Arabidopsis thaliana: one gene and its partners. The protein of the gene in region 3 interacts with the protein of the main gene of each other region in a pairwise test. Each region holds a gene or a part of one and is shown on either strand. Other genes may lie near its edges.

Region 1 (7,403 bases), on a different chromosome or scaffold from region 3:
TTTGATATCTTTTGTTGATTAGGATTCCTTTTATCGTGGTTTGACATCTGAGGAGTTGCAGCGTGTGCAAGAGTATAACTTTGATCATCCTGGTAAACTAACTTAATCGTTTTTCTTGAATTTTCTTCTCACTGCTTGCTTGTATTTTGGTTTTAAGTACACTGCGGTTCAGCTGACAGCAGCATTTGGTATTCTTTTGCAGATGCGTTTGACACTGAGCAGCTTTTGCATTGTGCTGAGACTCTCAAGAGCGGGCAACCCTATCAAGTTCCAATCTATGACTTTAAGACTCATCAACGTAGATCTGATACTTTCCGCCAGGTGCTTACTCTTATGTCCAAGACCATTATTGTGGTTCTTGTGCTCATGTGATTTGAATCTCTTATTTATGTGTTCCTATTTTAACTTAATGGGCATATTAGCATATATTCATTCCCTTTAAACTTAATATCTGTTGGGAGCCTCTGTCAGGTCAATGCTTCTGATGTAATAATATTGGAAGGGATTCTAGTTTTCCATGACTCACGAGTTCGGAATCTGATGAATATGAAGATCTTTGTTGATACAGGTATCAACCGCTATGCCTTTTTGTTTCCCCAAAACATGCATATGTCTTGCGCTACTCATCCTTTTTCACTCTTTGGATAACCTTATTAGTTTTGTATACCTGGAAATGATATTTTGTAATCAAAGTTGTCTATCTCCTTGGAATCTTTTTCACTTCTCTCTAGTCCTCAACATAAGCTATTAAATGGTTTCAGATGCTGATGTAAGGCTTGCTCGCAGAATTAGGCGTGACACAGTTGAGAGGGGTAGGGATGTCAATTCTGTGCTTGAACAGGTCAGTCCTCTTTTCGATTTATGCTGTAGGATTTGTAAGCATAGGTTCATCTAACCTAGTTAGGTAGCTTTATTTTGTGTGTGTATATGAGACATGAGTAAATACATGGAAATTCTGCTCTAGGGAACATCTCATTGTGTCTCTTCTCTGGTTTCTTCTTCCTTTTCTGCTTCCTACTGTTGTTTTTTTACTAGATAACTCTATATGTTCTTATTCCATCCTTTGAGATGCTCCTCTGTAAAACATCTCTTTTATCTTCTGAGCTTCCCATGTGCCTAATTTGTTTTCTGAGGATGTTATGTTCGTTTACAGTATGCAAAGTTTGTGAAGCCGGCATTTGATGACTTCGTGCTCCCTTCAAAGAAATATGCTGACGTGATCATTCCTCGAGGAGGTGATAATCACGTTGCAGTCGATTTGATTACGCAACATATCCACACAAAACTTGGGCAGCATGATCTCTGCAAAATCTACCCAAATGTTTATGTTATCCAGTCAACATTTCAGGTATTTTCTCACTCTTGCTCTCTTTGATACTTGATTTAGATGGTAAGTGTTATCGATGGTCTCACTATAGGATCATGATTGCAGATAAGAGGCATGCATACACTTATTCGGGAAAAGGACATATCAAAGCATGACTTTGTGTTTTATTCAGATAGACTCATTCGTCTGGTATATCTCTCCCTTATGTCTTCTCTTTCAACGTCACTCACTTTTCAGGCTTTCTTATTTTAACTAATATCAGTTCAATTTCAGGTCGTGGAGCATGGTCTTGGTCATTTGCCATTCACTGAGAAACAAGTAGTTACTCCAACAGGTATGAGAAGAGAATGCATGAGCTGTAACAATACTGTATACACTTTTTTATATAACTTGGTCATCAGATGTCCGTCTCCTTCACGTCAATCTAGTTAGAGTTAGCTTATTCAACTCATTTAAACTTATCTTTTCCACACCAGGAGCTGTATATACCGGTGTTGATTTCTGCAAGAAACTTTGTGGGGTCTCAATTATTAGAAGGTGAGCCTTTGAAAGGTATTGTATTTGGTTAAGTTTGATATGATAAGATGCTTATTCTTCCAACTGTTTTACATCATGCAAGGCATAAATTTACTTGTTTGCGATTAAATTATCTCTCCTACGTGGTTTCTGTTTTGTATGTTTTTCCTAGTGGTGAAAGCATGGAAAATGCATTACGCGCTTGCTGCAAAGGAATTAAAATAGGGAAGATTCTCATCCACCGTGATGGCGATAATGGAAAACAGGTCTTCCTATTAATATTTTGCTCTGTTTTTAAAAGTATCAAGTATAATCTCTTTTTATAAACACGAATTTTGAAGTTTCTCTTGTCGTGATAATCAGCTTATTTATGAGAAGCTTCCTCACGACATATCTGAACGCCATGTCCTGCTTCTAGATCCTGTCTTAGCCACAGGTACTCTGTCTCTCTACGCTGTATATTTCGATTTTGGTCCTTTTTGATGGATTTTTGGTTCTCGAAATTCATATCTCGTGATATTGCTTCTTCTTGAAGGTAACTCGGCTAATCAAGCCATTGAACTACTCATACAGAAAGGTGTTCCTGAAGCTCACATTATATTCCTCAACCTTATATCGGTGAGTGTAAAAAGCTATATATCGATCTTTCGCTCTTTTGTGAATGTAGAAGCTAAAGATCTCATTATGTATCTGCTTCTCTATCTCTTTGCTTCTCTCTTTCCCTCGTCATGACCTTGCTTTCTGACAGGCGCCGGAGGGAATCCACTGTGTCTGCAAACGTTTTCCAGCATTGAAAATTGTGACGTCTGAAATAGACCAATGTCTGAACCAAGAATTCAGAGTTATACCGGGCTTAGGCGAGTTTGGCGATCGTTACTTCGGCACCGACGAGGAAGACCAGTAGCCACCACTCAACACTGTGACTGGTTTCAAAGGAAAAGCCTAAATTTATGACTAGAGCGACAGTAGAGGCACTTGCATGTCTTTGTAGTTTGTGCTAAAGAATCTTTATCTTATTGTTTATGAAGCTCCTCTTGCTTACTTGAATTATTTTTGAAAAACTACGTTAATTTTCTCATTAAAAAAATGATCGGGACAATGCTAGTTTTCTAAACCGGTGGAAAAAGACATAACCAATCCTTTTATACATGATTTTGACAATCGTACGAAAATTCCAGTTCTCTCTAATTTTAATTTCTTTATTTACATGTTGATTAATATATATTTACCATTTTTCTTAAGGATCTTAGGGTTTAGGGATTATGACCTAAACCTAATGATAGAATTTAACCTTAGTTGGACCCACGAATGATGGGCCTAAGTTAAGCCCAACTATAAATTAATGTAGCGTAACCGCCACACGCTCATCTATAAATACACCACTCCTATGCAAGACCTATAGTTTTATTTCAGTCGACTCTTGACCTTCAATTTCCTCCGTCTCTAAATTTCCTTTTCTTTTGGCTCTCTCTGCGATCGAGTTCGAAACCGTTCCCTAATCGAAGATCTAGATTCAACATACGTTTTATCTCTCAGGTTTGCTTCTTCTTCGACTACGTTTTCTCCGCGATTATGATGATGCCTTCTTCTTCCTGCTTTCACTTTGGGTTGCGTTTCTTCATCTCCTCGATTCGCGATCCTCCTATTCGCATCGATACCCAGAGATCTAGGGTTTCCACCGATATGGATATGGATAAATCTTAGGGTTTCACCGATAAGGATTATGGATTCGAGTTTCTCTTCTATGTACATTGTCGGAGCTACATCTTCTCTTCTTGTTGTTAGTGTTAGGGTTTTGAATAGGTTTTAGGTGATGAATTATAGGTTTAGAGTTCTGAATTAGAGATTTATTTGGTTTTTTCTGTGGACGTGGTGCTCTATGATACCTGGATTGAATTTGGGGTTACAGACAGAAGAATGTGTTGCTTTTGATTCTCTAGCGATTGGGGAATTCAGAAACTCCTTGCTTCTGGACTTGTTACCCTTGTGAAAATTTATGTATGGGTCATCAGTCATCATGGATGAAGCAAACAGTTATCGACTCTGTGGTTCAGTCTTCTAAAGTTGGTGTTTTCTCAATGTTTAGTATGGATTACAAGGCGCCAAGGAAATACTCACACGGAAGGAATTTTGGAGTTGCGAGACAGCAAGATTTTGCAGCAGATATAGTTACGAGAAGACCTTATGCCCCGTATGACAATGGTATGAAGAAAGGTCCTAATAAGTTGTCAAGGAATCTGGTTTGGACGTCAAAAGAGTACAAATCACCAGAGGGAAACAGGCCAAGGCAGAATGCAGCCAATGGGTCAGCGAAACCACAAGTTATAGGCACAGGACATCGTGTATCAAACCAGCCGAGGAAGAATGCTGTGTATGGGCCAAGGAGCTCTTCTCTTTCAGACACCAGAGGTTGTGGGCCGAGACTCAATGGCAGTCCCAAAAAGAGTGTGTGTAATTTTTGGAAAGATGGAAACTGCAAAAAGGGCGAGAAATGCCAGTTCTTACACTCTTGGTCTTGTTTTCCTGGACTGGCCATGGTAGCTGCTCTTGAAGGACACAAGAATGATATTAAGGGAATCGCCCTTCCTCAGGGTTCAGATAAACTCTTTTCAGTCAGTGGTGATGGTACATTGCTAATTTGGGACTGCAATTCTGGTCAGTGTGTTCGATCCATCAACCTCCAGGCAGAAGCAGGGTCTCTAATTAGTGAAGGACCATGGGTTTTCCTTGGCTTGCCAAACGCTGTAAAGGTTAGTTTAAGGCGTCTCTTAACACAAATATTCTTCTGTTATCTAAATTCTGTTCGTTAAACTCAGTTGATTCTGGTGTTAAAGTTTTTGTTTATCAATTTTGCAGGCTTTTAACGTTCAAAACAGTAAAGATGTGCATCTTGAAGGGGTGGTTGGTCAGGTGCATGCAATGACTGCTGCAAACGGAATGCTTTTTGCTGGAACAAGTGTAAGCATTTTTAACTTAACTCTCTATCTTCTCTATACATGTGTTAGGTTCTCTGCTTCTTTGTTGGATCTATACTAATAAGTTTCTTTTGTCTTTTTTGGAATTGCAGTCTGGTAGTATATTAGTCTGGAAAGCTACAGACTCGGAGTCTGATCCATTCAAATACTTGACATCTCTCGAGGGACATCATAGTGGTGAAGTCACTTGTTTTGTTGTTGGAGGTGAAGTGCTATACTCTGGTTCTGTCGATAAAACAATAAAGGTAAGATATGGCTGCTACTAAATACAAAATGATTTCATCTTTAATCTTATTTTGAATGCATTCTAATAACTTCTGTTTGCTGTGGTTCTAGGTGTGGGATCTCAACACCTTGCAATGTAGAATGACCCTGAAGCAACATATCGGCACTGTCACTTCACTCTTATGTTGGGACAAGTGTCTGATATCGTCTTCCTTGGATGGGACCATAAAACTTTGGGCTTGTTCTGAAAATGAAAGTTTGAAAGTTGTTCAAACTCGCAAACAAGAACTGAGTGTTCATACTCTCTGTGGAATGCACGATGCAGAGGCCAAACCGATCATGTTTTGCTCTTACCAAAATGGAGCAGTTGGCATTTTCGACCTACCATCTTTTGAAGAAAGAGGAAAGATGTTCTCTACGCAGACGATCTGCACACTTACAATTGGTCCTGGAGGATTGTTATTCAGTGGAGACAAGAGTGGGAACTTGCGTGTATGGAGCTTAGCTTCTGGCACCAAAGTTTAGTCGTTTTAACAATTTTCGACTATTGATTTTCATTTAATTTGTACATATACATTGGTGGTTGATTCTAAATCCTTGCATTAATGTAATAACTTTTAATGTTGCCAAGATAAAAGAAAGTAATATTTTCATATCCGTTCTCTCATAGAAAGATGTTTATTTAACACAATTCCTTAAAAGATTTGTGAACTCCATGGAAGCTTCAAAGTTTTGTTCTGTATTCAAATTTCTTATTCTTCTTCTTTTGAAACTGAAAACGTGGGGAAAAAAAAGGAGATTTACAAGTAGAAAACACAAATCTACCAAATGGTATAATTTGTTTTTGGTCTTGAAGGAAGAATGCAAGCAAAACTGGACAGAATATATATCAACTAAGAATGTGGAAAGACACACGAATCACACAAACCAAATAATAGTGAACGCTCTTTGCATTTTGGCTTATTCATCTAGCTTTTCCACTTTTGTGTTTATCCAAGTGAGGAAATGCTTGTAGAATGTTATAAGCCCTGAGATCTTGCCTTGTTAAGATCCCTATCACAGGTGACATCTGCAACAACACAAGACACACGTTTAGTAGTGTTCTTGAATCTTGAATCAAGAGAGTAAAAAAGCAAACTTACCCCTGAAGCTTGAATCTTGGGAACCACCAGTAAATGTCTGAGACCCACTGACCGGAACAGAACCAAAGCTTTAGCCACTGACATACTTTGCACCACTGTGTAAGGTGTAGTGTTGGTCAAAGGATGAAGATCAACATACAATTGCATCTCTGAGCTTGTGATTGCAACATCATCGAAGTTATCTTCTCTCTCAGCTAATTCAACCGGTGTGAACTTTTCCCTAACTTCCCACTCTTCTGTTCTCCTTTTCTCATTCAAGAACCATCTCTTTTTCAGAACTTTCACAAGGTGAGCTCTTAGGATCAGACCATGGAGCTCTGTGCCAGTGTTTTGATCTGCTCCATCCAAGACTGGGAATGCGTTATGCGTTGTGTTCCTTAGTACATCGACTATATTTGCCACTTTTTCTACTCCGTTAAGTGTTACAACCGGAGGCTTAGCGTCGTTAAGCTCACCTACAGTGAGATTCCTCATCCACGGCTCTGGATTTGCTTCCAAGAAAGGTAAGCCCTTAAGATGGAGAATGATCTCGTAGATACTTAGATTGAAGCTGTCACCTACTGTTTTAGCTATCAGAAGCACAAACATTGTAATGGGCAACAAAAGAAGGTTGTTGGTGAGTTCCAGAAATATAACACAGAGTGAAACAGTCATTCTCATTGAACCAGCCATGAGTGAAGCTGCACCAAGAACCGCGTAAAGCCCTTGATCTATGTTTGTGTAAGACCCCATTGCTGTGCCTAGCATCCTACCGTATGCAGAACCCATGAGGATAATCGGTAGGAAGAGACCCGACGGTGTCGCTATACCGAATGTTATAAGACCCAAAATGCAGTAGAGGCCAAAGAATATCCAGAGAGAAACCATGCCAAACTCATTAGGAGTGTTTGAAGAGAAAATGTTTCTGACTGCATCATCATTGGTTGTGAGAAGCAGAGTGGATAGATCGTTGTAATAACCATTTGGACAGTTGAATTGCTTGAAATTTCCTGATCTTCCGTTTGTTGGACATATCTCGTCTATAGAAGGATCACAAGGCTTGCATTCCGCTAAGAAAGGAAGACCGAACAAGCAAACTGATGTGAATAGAGATACCCCAAGACTTAGAAGCACCTTATGAATCTTTCCCTTCCTACACCAAAATTTACCAAACAATGTTAAGTAAAAAGAAATCTTTAAGACTCTTGAACGTTCATAAACACTTACTGGTTGATGAGA
Region 2 (7,999 bases), on a different chromosome or scaffold from region 3:
CTTTAGAATTCTGCTAAACTTCAACTCGCAATTCTGCTAAACAACAAAACATCACATTATGAATTAACTCTGAAGTTACTAGTCTCTTTGTAGAGTTGATGAAGCTAGTCTCATTTCAAAGGTGTAGGGACTCATGAAAAAACACCCGAATCTTCTTCTTGGTTTCAGCGTCTACCTTTCAGCTGGGACTAAGCTAACCATCCCTCCCGAGGCTGAGCAACATACTGCGCCATCTGATAATAACAAACGAAAACGTGCTAAGTGTGATGATCCATCGATGATCAAGATTACGTCTGAAAATAACAAAAGAACACGTGCAACGTGTGATGATCCATGGATGATCACGATAACGTCTGATAATAACAAAAGAAAACGTGCTAAGTACTGTGATGATCCAGATTATGATCCGGATTATGTGAAGAAGCTTAAGGTATATAAAGTGCTCAAATTATAAACTAATCCAAAGAAAATACCATTTTGGTCATTCTTGTTTTGATAAGTACTTGTTGTGAGTCTCCATCGAAGAAGCGAAAGAGGAAAGGAAAGAATGTGTCTCCACCTAAGAAAAAGGGGAAACTTAGCAAGCGCACAATACATTGTAATAAATGTGGTCAAGCAGGGCACAATTCTCGTTCATGTGGTAAGAGAGCTCTTCAGGTTAGTCTCTTTTCATCTTGAGTTCAGTAATGTTACACTGTTGCTGTGGTGGTGTCTTCTTGCTGGTAAATGGTTGTGTTTTCAGGCTTGTGTTAGTAGTGGATTGCTAAAGAAAGCAACTCAATCTCAGCGAAATACTCAACAAGTAGAAGATTAGAAGCAAGTGTGTGGATTGTTTCCTTTGGCTTCTTAGTAGGGTTTTTGTTGCCTTCTTAATAATTTTTGTGGCTCATAGTTTAGTGGTGTTTTGCACTAAAGATAGGTTAAGGTTTTGGTGATAAGTATCTGTTAGAAGCAGAACTCTCGCGTCGATCTATGATACTTATAAGTTCCAATGTTGAATTAACACATTGTCTTACTAGTTTTTGGATTCAATTTACAACATTCTTAAAGCTTTGATTCAAATGATATCAAGCAACCTGAGTGATCATTGTTATATCTCCATCTCCTCATGCAAGCGCTTATCCAGAGTTAGCTTAGTCGTAACGTAAAATTTCATTCGCATGTAGCATCAATGTTGGTTTCTAATCAACAAGTTAGCTCACGCTTGATCACCCAAACGCAAAGTAGTTGTGTCCATAGTTGTATATGTTGTGTATCGAATAAGATGGTTTTATACATCACCACGGTCTATTATGATCATCATTGGAATCTATACACAGTTCAATACTAACAATCAACAGAAAAATATTTCTTATAACTTTTGCATTGATCAAGGAACTCAGTTCTAGAGCACACGAGATGTAAAAATCTACCGGAGAAGTCACTAAAAAGTAGTTCAACATTTCAGAATAGTTTACAGTTCCAGGCGATAAATAAACCAAGCCCTGGTAAAAAGTGGACAAGACAAGACCTCACTGTTCTTGTCAATAACCAGGGTGAAATTAGTCCAAATTTCAATCCCTGTAAGGCTGTAACTCAAGAAATCTCTAATCTGCTTTTACAAGGACAAGCAGATTCTAAGTAAAGACAACAACATGCGAAAAGCAAACATATCCGCTTTTCGCTGGTCGATCAGATCTATAGACGCCTTTCGGGTTAGTAGCAACGAACCCTTTCTCGCTATTTCACTGACCGACTCTTTTCACTAGCCTCATGTGCCAAAGAGTTGCAACCTTCGTCTTTCCAGCTCAAGCTGCGATAAAAGCAAAATTGCATTACTATCACACCCAAGGCTTGATCAACGTTACACGATTGAATGCAAATGACTAATATAACACCAGAGGCTTAATTGGCATTACACAATGAACTGAAAGTGACGCTTACCACTTTCTTGACTCGGTTGTTGGCAGCATCAGTTCCTCCAAAGACACAATCTGAAAGATACGGGCTACGAACGCGTACCTCTTTCATCACCAGAATGTCTGAGTTTTCCCATTGCACAGGAAGCCTAAAAGGAAAATAATTCACATGTGATTCATTCGAAAGAGAAAAAGCAAATTCAAACAAAGAAAGTTTAAGGATTTATGTAGTCTAAAACTATGTATCTAGACAGCTTCTTAACTGTATCAGTATCACAAAGAAGACTAAAGATACTTGACACTAGAGCCCACAACATATGTAATCTACAACAACCACAAACATAGAAACTTTACATATATATAGTTGCAAACTAGCATCACCGGAAACCAAGAGCAAAACAACACTAAATCATGTCCAGATCCTAACAATTTATCTTTGGGAATAACACATTAGACGCACAAAACAAAATCCTCCAACCCAAGCAATTGTTTACAAAGAACTAATAGTTCAACTAAACAACATTAGATTACGATCTCGTCCCACCTCTCTACCGTATACTCTAAGCTGTGTTTCCTTCTTAGAGATTAGCTTATTTTTCGATCCGAAAACGTATAAAAAGAGAAGATCCTTACGTCTTAGACAACGCGTCGAAGATGCTCTGAGCCTCAGCGGTAACACCAACTCCCATTCTTTCAGCATCTGCTTCCGCTTGCCTGTGCTCAATACGTTTTCCCAAGTAAGCTCAAAACAAGCAAATAGCAATAAAAATTGCATTTTGAAAGGATTCAACAACAAAATATCTTATCACCTGATAGCAAGTGCCTCTTTAGCTCGGAGACCATTAAGATCAACAGAAAAGTTGTCTGAATCAAGTGGATCTTCAGTTTTGCCTAAATACGAAAGCCCTGTAATAAAACTCGCATTCACCATCCGAGTGTTCTTCAAATGCCCAGGTCTAGGTTTTGTACCCTCTTGTAATAACCAATAACTCGTCAAGGATAACACAATTCAGGTCAAGACATTGAAAATACCTAAATCTCAAATTTTGATGAAACAAACAATTAAAGAAATTAAGGATATCAAAAAAGACGAAGTTGGGGATGGGGTCGTAAGCCATGACGATCCCTCTGAACTCATCTCCGGTGATCACCTTCACTGAATAAATATTCCCCACCGCGAATTTCTCTCCTTCTCCTCCGATTGCGCTGGCCACCGATGCTCCTGCTGGATCCATGGCGGCCGTCCTCGCTCCTCCTCCGTCTTCTGAAATCGCCGAACTTCGGAAAAATTAAAACTATATATATCGCAATATGGGCCTTAAGCCCAAATAGCTACTGGCTTATAACAGTTTCCTCATTTTTATATCAGTATATGGGCCATAAGGGCCCAATAACTACTGAGCTTCATGATTAGTTCAAAACGCGGCGTTTTAAAGATTAGTGTATGACTGTTACTTTATCCATTTTATTTCGTTATAAACAGATTAGCGAACACTGAACCACAATCAAATCGGAGAAAATCGTGTGTGTGTGTGTCAATGGCGGCTTTAAGCATCTCACTAGCTTTCTCTGTTGATTCTCTCAAACCAACCCAATCAACGAAGTTTGGCTTCTCGTCTTCTTCACATAGATATCCATTACTCTACTCGTGTAAATCTCACCGCTCCAATCTCAGATTCGCTTTCCCTCCTTCTTCAGTTTCGACAGCTACAGAAACTGGAGAAGAAAACTCTAAATCGACCGGGAATTACGCGTTTCTAGAGGAATCGTTTCGTACCGGGAGGTTTTTGAGTAACGATGAGTTAGAGAAGCTTAAAACTCTTGAAGGATTTGCGTATTTTCAAGAGCTTGAATCTGGATCGATGTGGGTTCGAGTTATGAGACATGAAGAGATGGATTCAACGGTGCATCTATTGGCTGAGTCATTTGGTGAATCGATGTTATTACCTTCTGGTTATCAGTCTGTGTTACGGTTTTTGATTAAGCAGTATTTGATTGAGAGAAGAGAAGTGTTGCCACACGCAGTTACTTTAGTTGGTTTCTTTAGGAAAAAAGTTGATGAGTTTAGTGATGATGGAGAGGAGGAGGCTGTGATGGCTGGAACTGTTGAGGTTTGTTTGGAGAAACGAGGCGCTAATGCTTCTCCTCCTTCTCCAACTCCTCCTAAGGAATCACCTTATATCTGTAACATGACTGTCAAAGAGGATCTTAGAAGGAGAGGAATTGGGTGGCATTTGTTGAAGGCGAGTGAGGAACTGATATCTCAGATTAGTCCATCAAAAGATGTATACTTGCATTGTAGGATGGTTGATGAGGCTCCTTTCAATATGTACAAGAAGGCAGGATACGAGGTTGTTAAGACAGATACAGTTTTGGTCCTTCTGATGTTACAGCGGCGTAAGCATTTGATGCGGAAGAAACTTCTTCCACTATGCACCAATCCTATAGTAGAAATGGTGGGGTCTGATAATGAGCTGACCTCCTCTGCAAATGTGTAAACATGGGTACAGTTTTTCCATCAGTGTACCAATTAGCTTTTAGTCTTCTTCTCAACCTTTTCTGAATTTATAACAAACATTGTGATTGGCTTTATTATGTAGGAGCTAAATGTGACATGACCAAGGGTCGGGTTGATAATCCCGTTTGCTTCGACCTATTGTTTATATGATCTTAGTAGAGGTACTCCACACACACTCTTATCTTTGTTATCTGCTTCCTGTATTGGCAGCGATTGTATTTCTTGTTCATAGACATGTGGTTAATTCTTTAGGCATTAGGCGAAAGAAGGAAAGAAAAAACAAGACTACACCCCTGAATTTATGTACTCATTTCTCTTAAAGCAAAACATTCATAGCAGCAAATACAACATACTATACGGATACATCTAGTGCTTGATTTTCTTAGTGAAATTATAGTATATATATCCAAATAATATCGCTTGATCAAAGTTTCCTAGCTGGAAGTTGAATTGAAATTATCCGGTAATTCATAATTAGTATTGTTTGTTTATATTTATCAAGTGTTTTTTTATCAGTGACCTCTCATTTTAGGAAAAATGACAGTAATCCATTTTACTTGTTTCGAAGAATTCAGTGTCTAGAGCCTTCTGAATGTAGGAATCGTCCCACCCAAACCACCCTTCGAGTTTGTGTAGATAATTAGTTGCAGTTCCTTAACACAATCCATCACTGAAGGTCGCTCTTTACTCTCTATACGGATGCACCGTGATGCTAGATCAGCAAACATGGTTATAGCTTCCATGCTGTATGAATTCCGAGGCAGCTCGACATCTATAACCTTACGCAATTTCTTTCTATCATTCAGTATATTCCTAACCTGAAACGTAGAGATAATTGATCAGTTTATTCCTATGTTAAGTTTCCTGATCTTTGAACTTTTTGTGTTTGTGAATCATAGAACCTAAAAGGTCCATTTTACCTGTAGCACCAGGTTCTGTTCATTTGGGCCCTGAGTTAAGTCAACTGCTCTGCGTCCAGTAAGTAGTTCTAGCAGCACAACCCCAAATGCATAAATGTCGCTTTGTAGAGTAAGTTTACCTGTCTGCCACAGAAGAAGGGAACAAAAATTATGCTAAAAATTGTCCTCCGTTGCCTATTGGCTCTGATATGTGAGTGTGATTAAAGTTCCTTTTCCAGGCTATTTTATGTCATTACTAGCAAGTTTTAATTTTTCTTAAGTAGTGTCTAGTTTACCCTATCGGAAGAGAATCATGTGTGAAATATAAGTAAGAATCTTTACCGATGTATATTCTGGGTCGAAATAGCCGAATGTTCCTAGAACTCTTGCTGTGACACAAGTATCCTTTCCTTCTGGCATCAACTTTGCTAGTCCAAAGTCGGATATCTGCAAGGATTACACTCACATCTTAGTTTTAGTCTATGCTTGGTATTAGTGCTGCATAAACCCTCCATTTCTATTAACTGTATAAGAACCTTTGCATTATAATTGGAGTCTAGTAGAACGTTGGTGGATTTGAAGTCTCTGTGAACAATTGGAATCCCAACAGAAGAACTTGAATGGAGATACGCGAGTCCTTTTGCTGCTCCTAGTGCAATTCTGAGCCTTATTGGCCAGCTTATTTTTGCTTCTTTGATTCCTGTGATAAAGACGCGGTTTAGTCGCCAATTGGTTTTAGTGGATTGGGCTCTTATTTTGTTGACTTACCATTCAAATGATCTTGCAGGTTTCCATTTTGCATATATTCATATACTAGGAACCGGTGTTTCCCATCTGCACAATAGCCGATCAAAGAGACCAGATTTGGGTGGTCGAGTCTGCTCAAGATATCCACCTCCACACGAAATTCTCTTTCTCCGTCAGCCTTTTTAAACGTAGGTAAATCCATCTTCTTGATTGCAACAACCTTCAAATAACAAGGGATTAAGATATGTATCCTACTCTAATAGCTCCTCTTCGATAGAAAAGTTTTTGTAACATTACAAAGCCTGTAAATCACATAAATGAAGCTATATAGTTCCTACCTCTCCTGTTTTTAAAGTGCCTTGGTAAACTCGGCCAAAGCCTCCTTTACCGAGGAGATTCTCATCACTGAAAGAACTTGTGGCCTCCTCCATCTCCTTGAGGGTATAAACTGATGACCCGAATCTTCGCTTCCTTGGCTGAGAAGCCTGATCTTCGATTTGCCAGCATTCTGCTGTTCTGTAGACCCCTGAGAAGAAGGTTAGTTTCAAACAGATGGTGATTCAGTTTTACCTAAACCCTTTATATTCAGTAGTAGTAATGTCGAAAAACAAAAACAGTAACATACTTTTATGCCATCTGGCGAAGATGATGGAGAAAAGGAACGTACATGGATCCGTATCATATGATTTGCTTCTCCTTCTCTTGTTCCAAGCCGAAACAAGTGGAAAATGCATAGCTTTAGTTTGGATTTGGTTTTTTCTTATCCTTTGTAGACCATTACAAAGCCGATAGAAGAAGCTTCTGGTCTCGTCCTTAAGACAGAAGGGTATGTGTCTTTCTAGTCGTGAAGATGTTCTTTGTAGTTAGTTGCTTCCAAAGAAACAGAAGATTGTTGTGGTTGAAGATGATAAATATAGAGTGCAATAAAGTTAATTGATTTTGAGGGTTAGGTTTCTGAAATACTCAACAGCAGTATTTCAACTACCGAAAGTTCAAGAGAGAGAGAAAGAGACGGTAGAGCTGAAGAATACGTAGATTACATGTACGTGAAGCAAAAGAAATTGAGAGCCATCTTGAGAAAGTAAAGACTTGATGTTTCCTTAACTTTTCTAAGCTCAAATTCTCGGTTTGGTTCTCTTGTCTGAATCTATCTCCTTCTAACCAGTTTGTGTACGTACGTATCTCTGTCGATCAAATAGAGATGGGAAGCTGCTTTCAGAGTGTTTCCTTACCCTTTTCGTCTCAACTTTTTTCTCTAGACTTCTATATTACTATTTACTAATGTTGTTTTCATAGTTCGTTGAGAGAGAGATTATAAAAGTTAAACTTTATAAGTGGAGAAAACCTATAATTTTCTTAAAGCAATCTTAGTTTTTTTTAATAAGATTGACAAATCCTAGGATACTGTAACTTTAACGTATCCAATTGTATATTAAGGATTTGGGTTCGGATGAACTTTTGCTTCGAATAGAAATGATGACTCATTCTTAGAACATTTTTATTTTACGATTGAAGAGTGGTTGTCGTTTTATATCAATGGAAACCAACATGCTGTTTTCTCGCACAATGGTGAAATCAAAGTACCTAACGATGAAGAAATTGTTTTGGCTTTATTGCATTGCACCTAACCATGCCAGTGCCACCAAGAAGATTATTGTAGAAAATAAAGAGGAAACATTCAGCTCTTTATGATTAGAAAGTTTTATTCTTATGAAATGCAATTTGCAATTATTAAGTTGTTATGTTTGACTAATTGTGTGACGTGAACGTTTACTGATTTATTTTTGATCAATGATAATACATTATTTATAACCATTTAAATCTCATCATGTTTCACATATTGGCCCACAGTTATTATGAGAGGTCGTAAATGAGAACCAATTATGTAAAATATGCTACTTCACTTACTTGGTTCTTCAGATCGATTGTGTGACATT
Region 3 (7,668 bases):
GCTTTTCCTGATAAGGTTTAAATCTCTGTACTTGGGCCCAAATGACTACTTTCTCATTGACAGTCTCTATACTTTCAATACCCAAATAAGCTTTATCCATCATATCATGTTTTGGCTCAAATTGGCTCATATGTGAGAGATCTTATTAGAAAACAACTTGTCTAGTAATCTAGTATATTGATTAGAAAACATATAGAGAGAGATTGGCATGACATGCAGGCGAAGTAGTCTTTGCCTTGGATTCTTTTGCGTCTTTGCTAAATATATAATACTAATATTGAAAGATCGCATGTTTGATGCATGTTGACACGTGCGGTCATGCCCTTAGATACCTTGTGTCACCAATGTGTTGTGTATGCTCTCTCACCAGAAAGATCTATTCTTTCCTTTTTCCTTTTCGTTTCTTTTTTTTCATATTACTAAAAATAACATCATGTGTTAGGTTCTGGTCCAAGTTTGGTAGTAGCTAGCCTTATTTAGTATGTGGTTAATATAAACAACCAATAGTGAGCTGCTGTCACACACAAAAAAAAAAACGACCAATAGTGATATATAAATTTTAATTTAAAAATCTTGGCATATGCTTAATGAAGTGTTAGTAACATAATTTTTACGCCTACATTTTTTTTAAAAATATACATGTTTTCAATCTCGCCAATATCATATTTTGGCCAAAAAAGAAAAAACCTTACCAAACAACAAAGGAAAAGAAATTTTGGTATGGAGAGAATAAATAAAGCACGTGGGATCACGTGAGGGCTCGCGTGCCGGCGTGACTTGCCTTTTACTACAAAAAAAAACTCGTAACAAAGAAAAAATTGGGACCCCAAGTGGACGGAGCCTGACCCCTTGTGGTGGTAATAAAGACATAATATACGTTTCTTTCTCATACAACAAAACAAAATAAAAACTATACAATAAAATATTTAAAAATATTGGTCTGACAGATTTGTGTCAGAGAAACGTATTTGTCTTCTCTTGAACATGTGAACTCTCGCCCTCCTTTGCCTCTTCTTCTTATTCTCTGTCCTTTGCTCTATTTCTATATTTTCAGATTTGTTTGTACAAATAACTCGTTTCTCTTCTTAATTAATTAAAACAATTTTCCATCACAATTTCATAAATCAAAGTACGACATTAACTTTTATCGCCGACGTAAGAAAAGAATAAGGAAACTTGTGTTTTCTTACGAAAAATATTGATAGTTATATCATTGCCTCGTTAATACGATACTACTACTACGTACATCAACGATTCGACGGTGGTTCTTTTAACCTATTAATCTTATATGTCAGAAATAGTTTTGTAATTACGATGTATAGTTTTGTGACTATTCAAAATATAGTTGACTTATTATTTTGTTTGCTCGAATGGTTAAATCTGGTCAGTCATGTTCATGTAGATCAGTGCCAATGCATTGTAATGGGTTATCTCCTTACTCGTTGGAGGGTGTATAATTTCAACAATACTGATATTGAAACACGTAGTAATTTTTTAAAATAGAGCATGTAAAATACATATGCCATGAAAAGAACTGGACAATATATATCTTAGTTTGGTATGTAAGAATATTGATGTAATATAATTTTTTTTGTAGACTAACATAATACGGTTATTGAAATTTGAGAAATTTTATAAGAATAATATAGTTAAGATATTATACAGTCAAGAGAAGCTTTACATTAAATAACTTAATCTCTTATGAAATAAAAAAGAAAAAAAATCTATTTACTAAAATTATAAATAACAAAGTTTGATGTTTAATTTTCATCAGATAATATGAAACTTATTAAAATTATAGAAAGATAAACCGTGAAAAGGGAAATGTGATTAAGATTTTGTATTATGTGATTAAAATTTTGTTAAATGAATTGGAGTGTGAGAAAAATGTGAATAAAGATTTTATGAGGGTAAAAAGTGAAAAATAGAGGAAAAGAGAGGGGGTAAGAGTGAGAAAAAGAAGAAGTACTATGAGTAGTCAAATCAAAGATGAATCACAGCCCAAAGAGAAACAAACCCTCACCACCCACTTGGTTACTCACTTTTATGCTTTTTACTTCTGAGCTTTCTCTGACACAGCCCACCTGCTTCTCTTTTCTCATTATTACTTACTTCTCTCCTCTTTACTTCATTTTCTCTTCTTCTATCTTTTTTTTTACCTCAGTCAGAACCGAATGTAAAACCTAAATCAACCCAAAAAGAATGTAATTGTTGTATACAAAATTGAATAGAATACAAAATCTAACCGTTGATAAAAGATGAAAGAAATTATTGGACCAAAAGTTTGCCTACCTTAACCAAATTTGAACCAGAAAATTTTGGTTTCAGTCTATAGTAAAACTGTAAAAGATATAATAACTCATAAGTAGTCGTTTGTTCTATAATTAATACATGACTCCTAAGACTCTTGAGACATCGTTCTACCATTATTTTAAAGCTTCGGGGTTTGAGTTTAGCTAAACATTCTGACATACAATTCATGAATTCATTTTCTTTTAGATTTGTTAAAGAAAACATGAGATACATAGTGATTGAGAAGTGATAGTTAGATGGATGTCAAAAAAAAAAAAAAAAACAGAGAAGTGATAGTTAGATGAAATATTTTCCCACATCTTTGAACTAGCTAATAATGCAATACGTATAGGCGATGACGCCCATGAGACTTTTCCCTTGGATATGCTGAGACTCTGTGGAAGCCGTTCGCTTTAACATTTCCGCAATGACGCAATCCGAGGTCTTCCAACAACCAAAACTTCATACGATACTCTTCAAGCATCCGGGCCTCTCAAAAACCCTCAGGTGGATTAACCTTGCTCTAAGAGTTCTCATAAACAAGGATGCATTTGTCATGTTTACTCAAGACAACATGAACTCGTACCACGCCGTATAAAAGTTTTTGACAAAAATCTTGAATAGCTAACAATTATTTGGCAAAAAAACTTCCAAGAATCTCTGCAACTTTGCTAATAGAGAAATTACTTGAATACTTTTAATATTTATAATTCACTTAACTATCACTTAAAATATAAACATTTACAACCATTTTTTTTAATGTTTCTCAAGCCTGATGATTTTTTTTTTTTTTTGGTAGGAAAAGGGGGAAAATCCGCCAATTTTATTAAAAAGAAAATACGAAATTACATTCGGATAGTTCTTGAAAACGCAGGCCCATTTACATCCTCCAAAACAAAAGAAGCAATAGAATCCGGAACTGAATTAAAAACATACAAACCAAGAGGTAAAGAAAACGCATAGTTAGCTAACCCGTCCGCAAGACGATTGACCTCCCTATACACGTGAGAAATACGGACTAACCAGTCCCTTGATATGAAGCCATAACACAAACGTAGTAGGAAAGATAGAGGATGAGAATCCGGTATCCCTGTCTGTAAAAACCCAACCACGATCTTCGAATCCACTTCCAGCTCAAGGCGTGTTATTCCTTGCTCCCAGACTATGTGTAACCCATAGTAGAGTCCCCACAACTCTGCTAGTGGCGCTGAACAGATTTCGATATTCAAAGCAAAAACCCCAACCCAGTTCTCGTTCCCATCACGCACCGCACCTCCCGCTGCTGCTAACCCGGGATTCTCTCTCGAGGCTCCATCCATGTTCAACTAGCCTGATGAATTTATTAAACTCATGTTTCCATTTTTTTTCCCACCAGTTATGTTAGTTTGATTAATTTTTCAGTCAATTTTGGCATAACGCTTTAAAATAATTATATCAAAATAATATTTTCAGTTTTTCTGCAACAGATTCATTCCACCAAGAATTCAGCCGATTCTACCCGAATTAATATTACCATTTTCGGACTAGATCTATGAACGAAGGTACAAAATTAATCAGTTAAAAAAGAAAATAGAGTGGCAAGTACTACATCTAGTGCCGTATGATATGATAATATAGGAACCTAAACGAATTTTATACTAATTCAAATTTAAAAGTAGTTAGGTTTGTCACAAATGCAAATTACAAATTATATCGACGTAACGCTTACTCATTAAATAATCTAAATTACTTGGTTAAAAGACTAATTAAATATTCTTAACAAGTAGGCTTTTGTTTTCATTATAAAACAAATTAAAAAGCTATACTAATATAAAAATGGAGATTGGTATTTCCAAAGCAGCAAAGACAGAAAAACTGCAGGTTATTATCTCTCCATCTTCATCTTGCAGAGTGGTTCTTTCTGGGTTTTCTGACTTGCTTTTCATTTTTTTATTGATACAAATGTTAAACCAATTATTTTAAATAGTCTTTGAGATTAATGAAGAGAGATTTGTGAACACAATTAATAAAGAGTTATACTATAGTAGTAGTCTTTTTTACTGTATAGTATTTTCTCCCCGCATCTGTCTTGTCTCACTGTCTTTTTCTCGCAAGTCTCTCTATTAAAAACCTCTTTCCCTCTACTCTGTCCTTTCTCTCTCTGCAGAAGAAGCTCAGATACAGAAACTGACTACCAAGAACAAAGCTTTTTCCTTCGAGCAAAGAAAGTTCTTTTTTCTTTTCTTTTGCTCTTCGTAACCCAACCAACAAGACTTTCATAAGCTATTAAATCAGAACCCTGGAAGACAAAAAAGGGGAAAAACCATTATCCTTAAAGTAACCAACACTTCTCTCTCTCTTTCTTCAATGGATTTGCAACTGAAACAATGGAGAAGCCAGCAGCAGCAACAACATCAGACAGAGTCAGAAGAACAACCTTCTGCAGCTAAGATACCAAAACATGTCTTTGACCAGATTCATTCTCACACTGCAACTTCTACTGCTCTTCCTCTCTTTACCCCTGAGCCTACTTCTTCTAAACTCTCCTCTTTGTCTCCTGATTCTTCCTCCAGGTTCCCCAGTGAGTCTTTTCTTCCTCTTATCTTATCTTTCTTGATAAAGAATTAGACTTTTCATTCATATAGTTTGTGTTTAATTGATTTTGATTCCTTTTTGTAGAGATGGGGAGCTTCTTTAGCTGGGCACAGTGGCAAGAACTTGAACTACAAGCTCTGATCTACAGGTACATGTTGGCTGGTGCTGCTGTTCCTCAGGAGCTCCTTTTACCAATCAAGAAAAGCCTTCTCCATCTATCTCCTTCCTACTTTCTTCACCATCCTCTTCAACACCTACCTCATTACCAACCTGCTTGTGAGTCTCGAGAACAGTCTTCATCTATCTATTTTTTAAATATAAATGGGTTTTGTGCTACTGGTGTTGGAGTTGTGTTCCCAAGATCCAGACTTTCAATATTAGTATATTATCTCGTTTTGCCAATCTTGAAGATCTAAACATGTGTGAATGGGATTAAGTAGGATTAGAATCTTGTTATTGATCTGATATGTGATATGAATGTTGAAAACAGGGTATTTGGGAAGGGCAGCGATGGATCCTGAGCCAGGCAGATGCAGGAGAACGGATGGTAAGAAGTGGAGATGTTCAAGAGACGTCTTCGCTGGCCACAAGTATTGCGAGCGCCACATGCACCGTGGCCGCAACCGTTCAAGAAAGCCTGTGGAAACTCCAACCACCGTCAATGCAACTGCCACGTCCATGGCTTCATCAGTAGCAGCCGCAGCCACCACTACAACAGCAACAACAACATCTACGTTTGCTTTTGGTGGTGGTGGTGGTAGTGAGGAAGTGGTTGGTCAAGGAGGATCTTTCTTCTTCTCTGGCTCTTCTAACTCTTCATCTGAACTTCTCCACCTTAGTCAAAGGTAATAAAAAGAAACTGTTTTTTTTTCTCTTAGGTCTGTCTGTTTTAGCTGTTGAACTTTATGGTCAAAACATTAAACTTAAACACATTGACTTTTTTATTTCTTTAGTGTTGAGCCAATAAGATTCATGGTTGAGATTTTAGACAATTGTTTTGAATAATAATGAAATCGATTTAAAGCAATACTGATTCTTGATTTATTAGTATGAAGTATGAACTAATGATATACACAACTTGGTTTGTATGTTCATAGCGATGTTGTGAAGAGAGGGGTAATGTTGGAAATTGAGAGACACATCCTTATCATTTTAGGGTTGGTTGGTTTGTTTGTTTGTTGAATTATGAGTTTGATTTCATTGTGAAAATATCTTTCTTTCTTTTTTCTTATTGTGTTGAGAGATAATGATAACATTGGATTTGATAGAATCTATAATTTGAAGCTAGGTGTGAGACTTTTCAAACAGAGAAAATAGAAAGAGAGAGAAATGGTAGGACCTTAGTGAAAGCTGACCCATATATGTCTCATATCTTGCAGAAAAGTTAAAGCTTTTAGATTCTTCTGCACCCACCTCCCCTATCCACACACAACACATGATATACAAAACACTCACTTTATAATTCTATTTCTATTTACTGCTTAATCAATTCTTATAAAACCCACATTAAAAGGTACTTTTAAAGCCTATAAACTAATATAAAGGCTACTACTGTCTGCAACTTTGTTGTTGAAGCCTAAATGTGGTTTCTCTTTTGACAAATTATTGCTTTTGTGCTTTGTTTTCACCAATGAGATGTGGATTCTGTTAACAGTTGTTCGGAGATGAAGCAAGAAAGCAACAACATGAACAACAAGAGGCCATACGAGTCCCACATCGGATTCAGTAACAACAGATCAGATGGAGGACACATCCTGAGGCCCTTCTTTGACGATTGGCCTCGTTCTTCGCTCCAAGAAGCTGACAATAGTTCAAGCCCCATGAGCTCAGCCACTTGTCTCTCCATCTCCATGCCCGGGAACTCTTCCTCAGACGTCTCTCTGAAGCTGTCCACAGGCAACGAAGAGGGAGCCCGGAGCAACAACAATGGGAGAGATCAGCAAAACATGAGCTGGTGGAGCGGTGGAGGTTCCAACCACCATCATCACAACATGGGCGGACCATTGGCCGAAGCCCTGAGATCTTCTTCCTCATCTTCCCCAACCAGTGTTCTCCATCAGCTTGGTGTCTCGACACAAGCCTTTCATTGACCAGTGTAAAACCAACACAACAATGCGGTTTTTACTGTGTTTTTGGTTTTTATCCAAATTTCCTGTATAAAGAGGGGAGGCTTTTGTTGTCCTCTTCCCTTTTTCTTTTAAGATTTCCCTTGTATCTGTAGCCTTTCTCTGCAGATTTTATATCCTCAAAGATTTGTTTTTGGAAATTCATGTCTAAATAGGATCTACGATGAAGCTTAGGCAAAATGTAGAAGTGCAACGACTTTTTATTTCATTTTTAAGTTATAATGATGCTGCAAGCGAAAACTAAAGGAGAAGAAGATCAACGAGTAAATTTTTGTAGTACAAAGAAGCTTACAGTAGGTAAACTCGGACAACTGTCTTTGCTCCTAAACATCTTCGGGTAACAGGCCTATGGGGACAAGAGAAGAACGTTCATCATCATCATCATCATCTACTGCAGCGTAAACTACAGCGGTTCTGCACGGTGCATACACCATGAAGGAGCAAGGCCTATCGTCGTGCCTTCCATCCTGTATAGCAAATTATTAGTTCCTTTGTAACGACTTGGAGAAAAGAGTTTATTCTTTTCGTTCTCGCTTAGTTAAAGGGCTTACAGAGGTGAAAAACTCCGCGGAGTCATCTAGCCGGTTGAAGCCTCCAAATAAAGAGTTATCAGAGTCCAAAACGATTTTGTACTTTCCGGGAACAGAGCAACCGATACGGTAGTCAGAGTAACTGT

What was found.
Region 1: the proteins of GRF3 (region 3) and AT5G40880 interact in a two-hybrid assay, tested with the Arabidopsis thaliana proteins (one large-scale study listed by BioGRID).
Region 2: the proteins of GRF3 (region 3) and AT1G24040 interact in a two-hybrid assay, tested with the Arabidopsis thaliana proteins (one large-scale study listed by BioGRID).

What each region holds. Positions count from the first base shown.
Region 1 is NC_003076.8:16,375,638-16,383,040, forward strand, and holds AT5G40880 (WD-40 repeat family protein / zfwd3 protein (ZFWD3)), read left to right. Parts: upstream 1-3,255; 5' UTR 3,256-3,843; coding exon 3,844-4,593; intron 4,594-4,699; coding exon 4,700-4,801; intron 4,802-4,910; coding exon 4,911-5,063; intron 5,064-5,154; coding exon 5,155-5,568; 3' UTR 5,569-5,715; downstream 5,716-7,403. Other genes in the region: UK/UPRT1 (uridine kinase/uracil phosphoribosyltransferase 1), read left to right, coding at 23-92, 203-321, 472-568, 762-841, 1,154-1,348, 1,433-1,516, 1,601-1,661, 1,804-1,864 and 4 more; CLC-A (chloride channel A), read right to left, coding at 6,008-6,112, 6,186-7,317, 7,392-7,403.
Region 2 is NC_003070.9:8,502,191-8,510,189, reverse strand, and holds AT1G24040 (Acyl-CoA N-acyltransferases (NAT) superfamily protein), read left to right. Parts: upstream 1-3,394; 5' UTR 3,395-3,436; coding exon 3,437-4,396; 3' UTR 4,397-4,402; exon of another isoform or gene 4,403-4,498; 3' UTR 4,499-4,577; intron 4,578-4,729; exon of another isoform or gene 4,730-4,994; coding exon of another isoform or gene 4,995-5,234; intron 5,235-5,318; coding exon of another isoform or gene 5,319-5,459; intron 5,460-5,612; coding exon of another isoform or gene 5,613-5,762; intron 5,763-5,851; coding exon of another isoform or gene 5,852-6,015; intron 6,016-6,083; coding exon of another isoform or gene 6,084-6,282; 3' UTR 6,283-6,400; downstream 6,401-7,999. Other genes in the region: AT1G24060 (uncharacterized protein), read left to right, coding at 134-454; AT1G24050 (RNA-processing, Lsm domain-containing protein), read right to left, coding at 1,751-1,792, 1,924-2,047, 2,532-2,612, 2,708-2,873, 2,980-3,133; AT1G24030 (Protein kinase superfamily protein), read right to left, coding at 4,995-5,234, 5,337-5,459, 5,658-5,762, 5,852-6,015, 6,084-6,282, 6,401-6,588, 6,688-6,796. UniProt on the Arabidopsis thaliana protein: Protein acetyltransferase with dual specificity triggering both N-alpha-acetylation (NTA), with a large spectrum of modified N-termini, including methionine, alanine, serine and to a lower extent threonine and valine as substrates, and epsilon-lysine acetylation (KA).
Region 3 is NC_003071.7:15,269,588-15,277,255, reverse strand, and holds GRF3 (growth-regulating factor 3), read left to right. Parts: upstream 1-4,140; 5' UTR 4,141-4,638; coding exon 4,639-4,852; intron 4,853-4,950; coding exon 4,951-5,142; intron 5,143-5,152; exon of another isoform or gene 5,153-5,356; coding exon 5,357-5,711; intron 5,712-6,520; coding exon 6,521-6,956; 3' UTR 6,957-7,168; downstream 7,169-7,668. Other genes in the region: SBE2.1 (starch branching enzyme 2.1), read right to left, coding at 7,316-7,459, 7,544-7,668. UniProt on the Arabidopsis thaliana protein: Transcription activator that plays a role in the regulation of cell expansion in leaf and cotyledons tissues.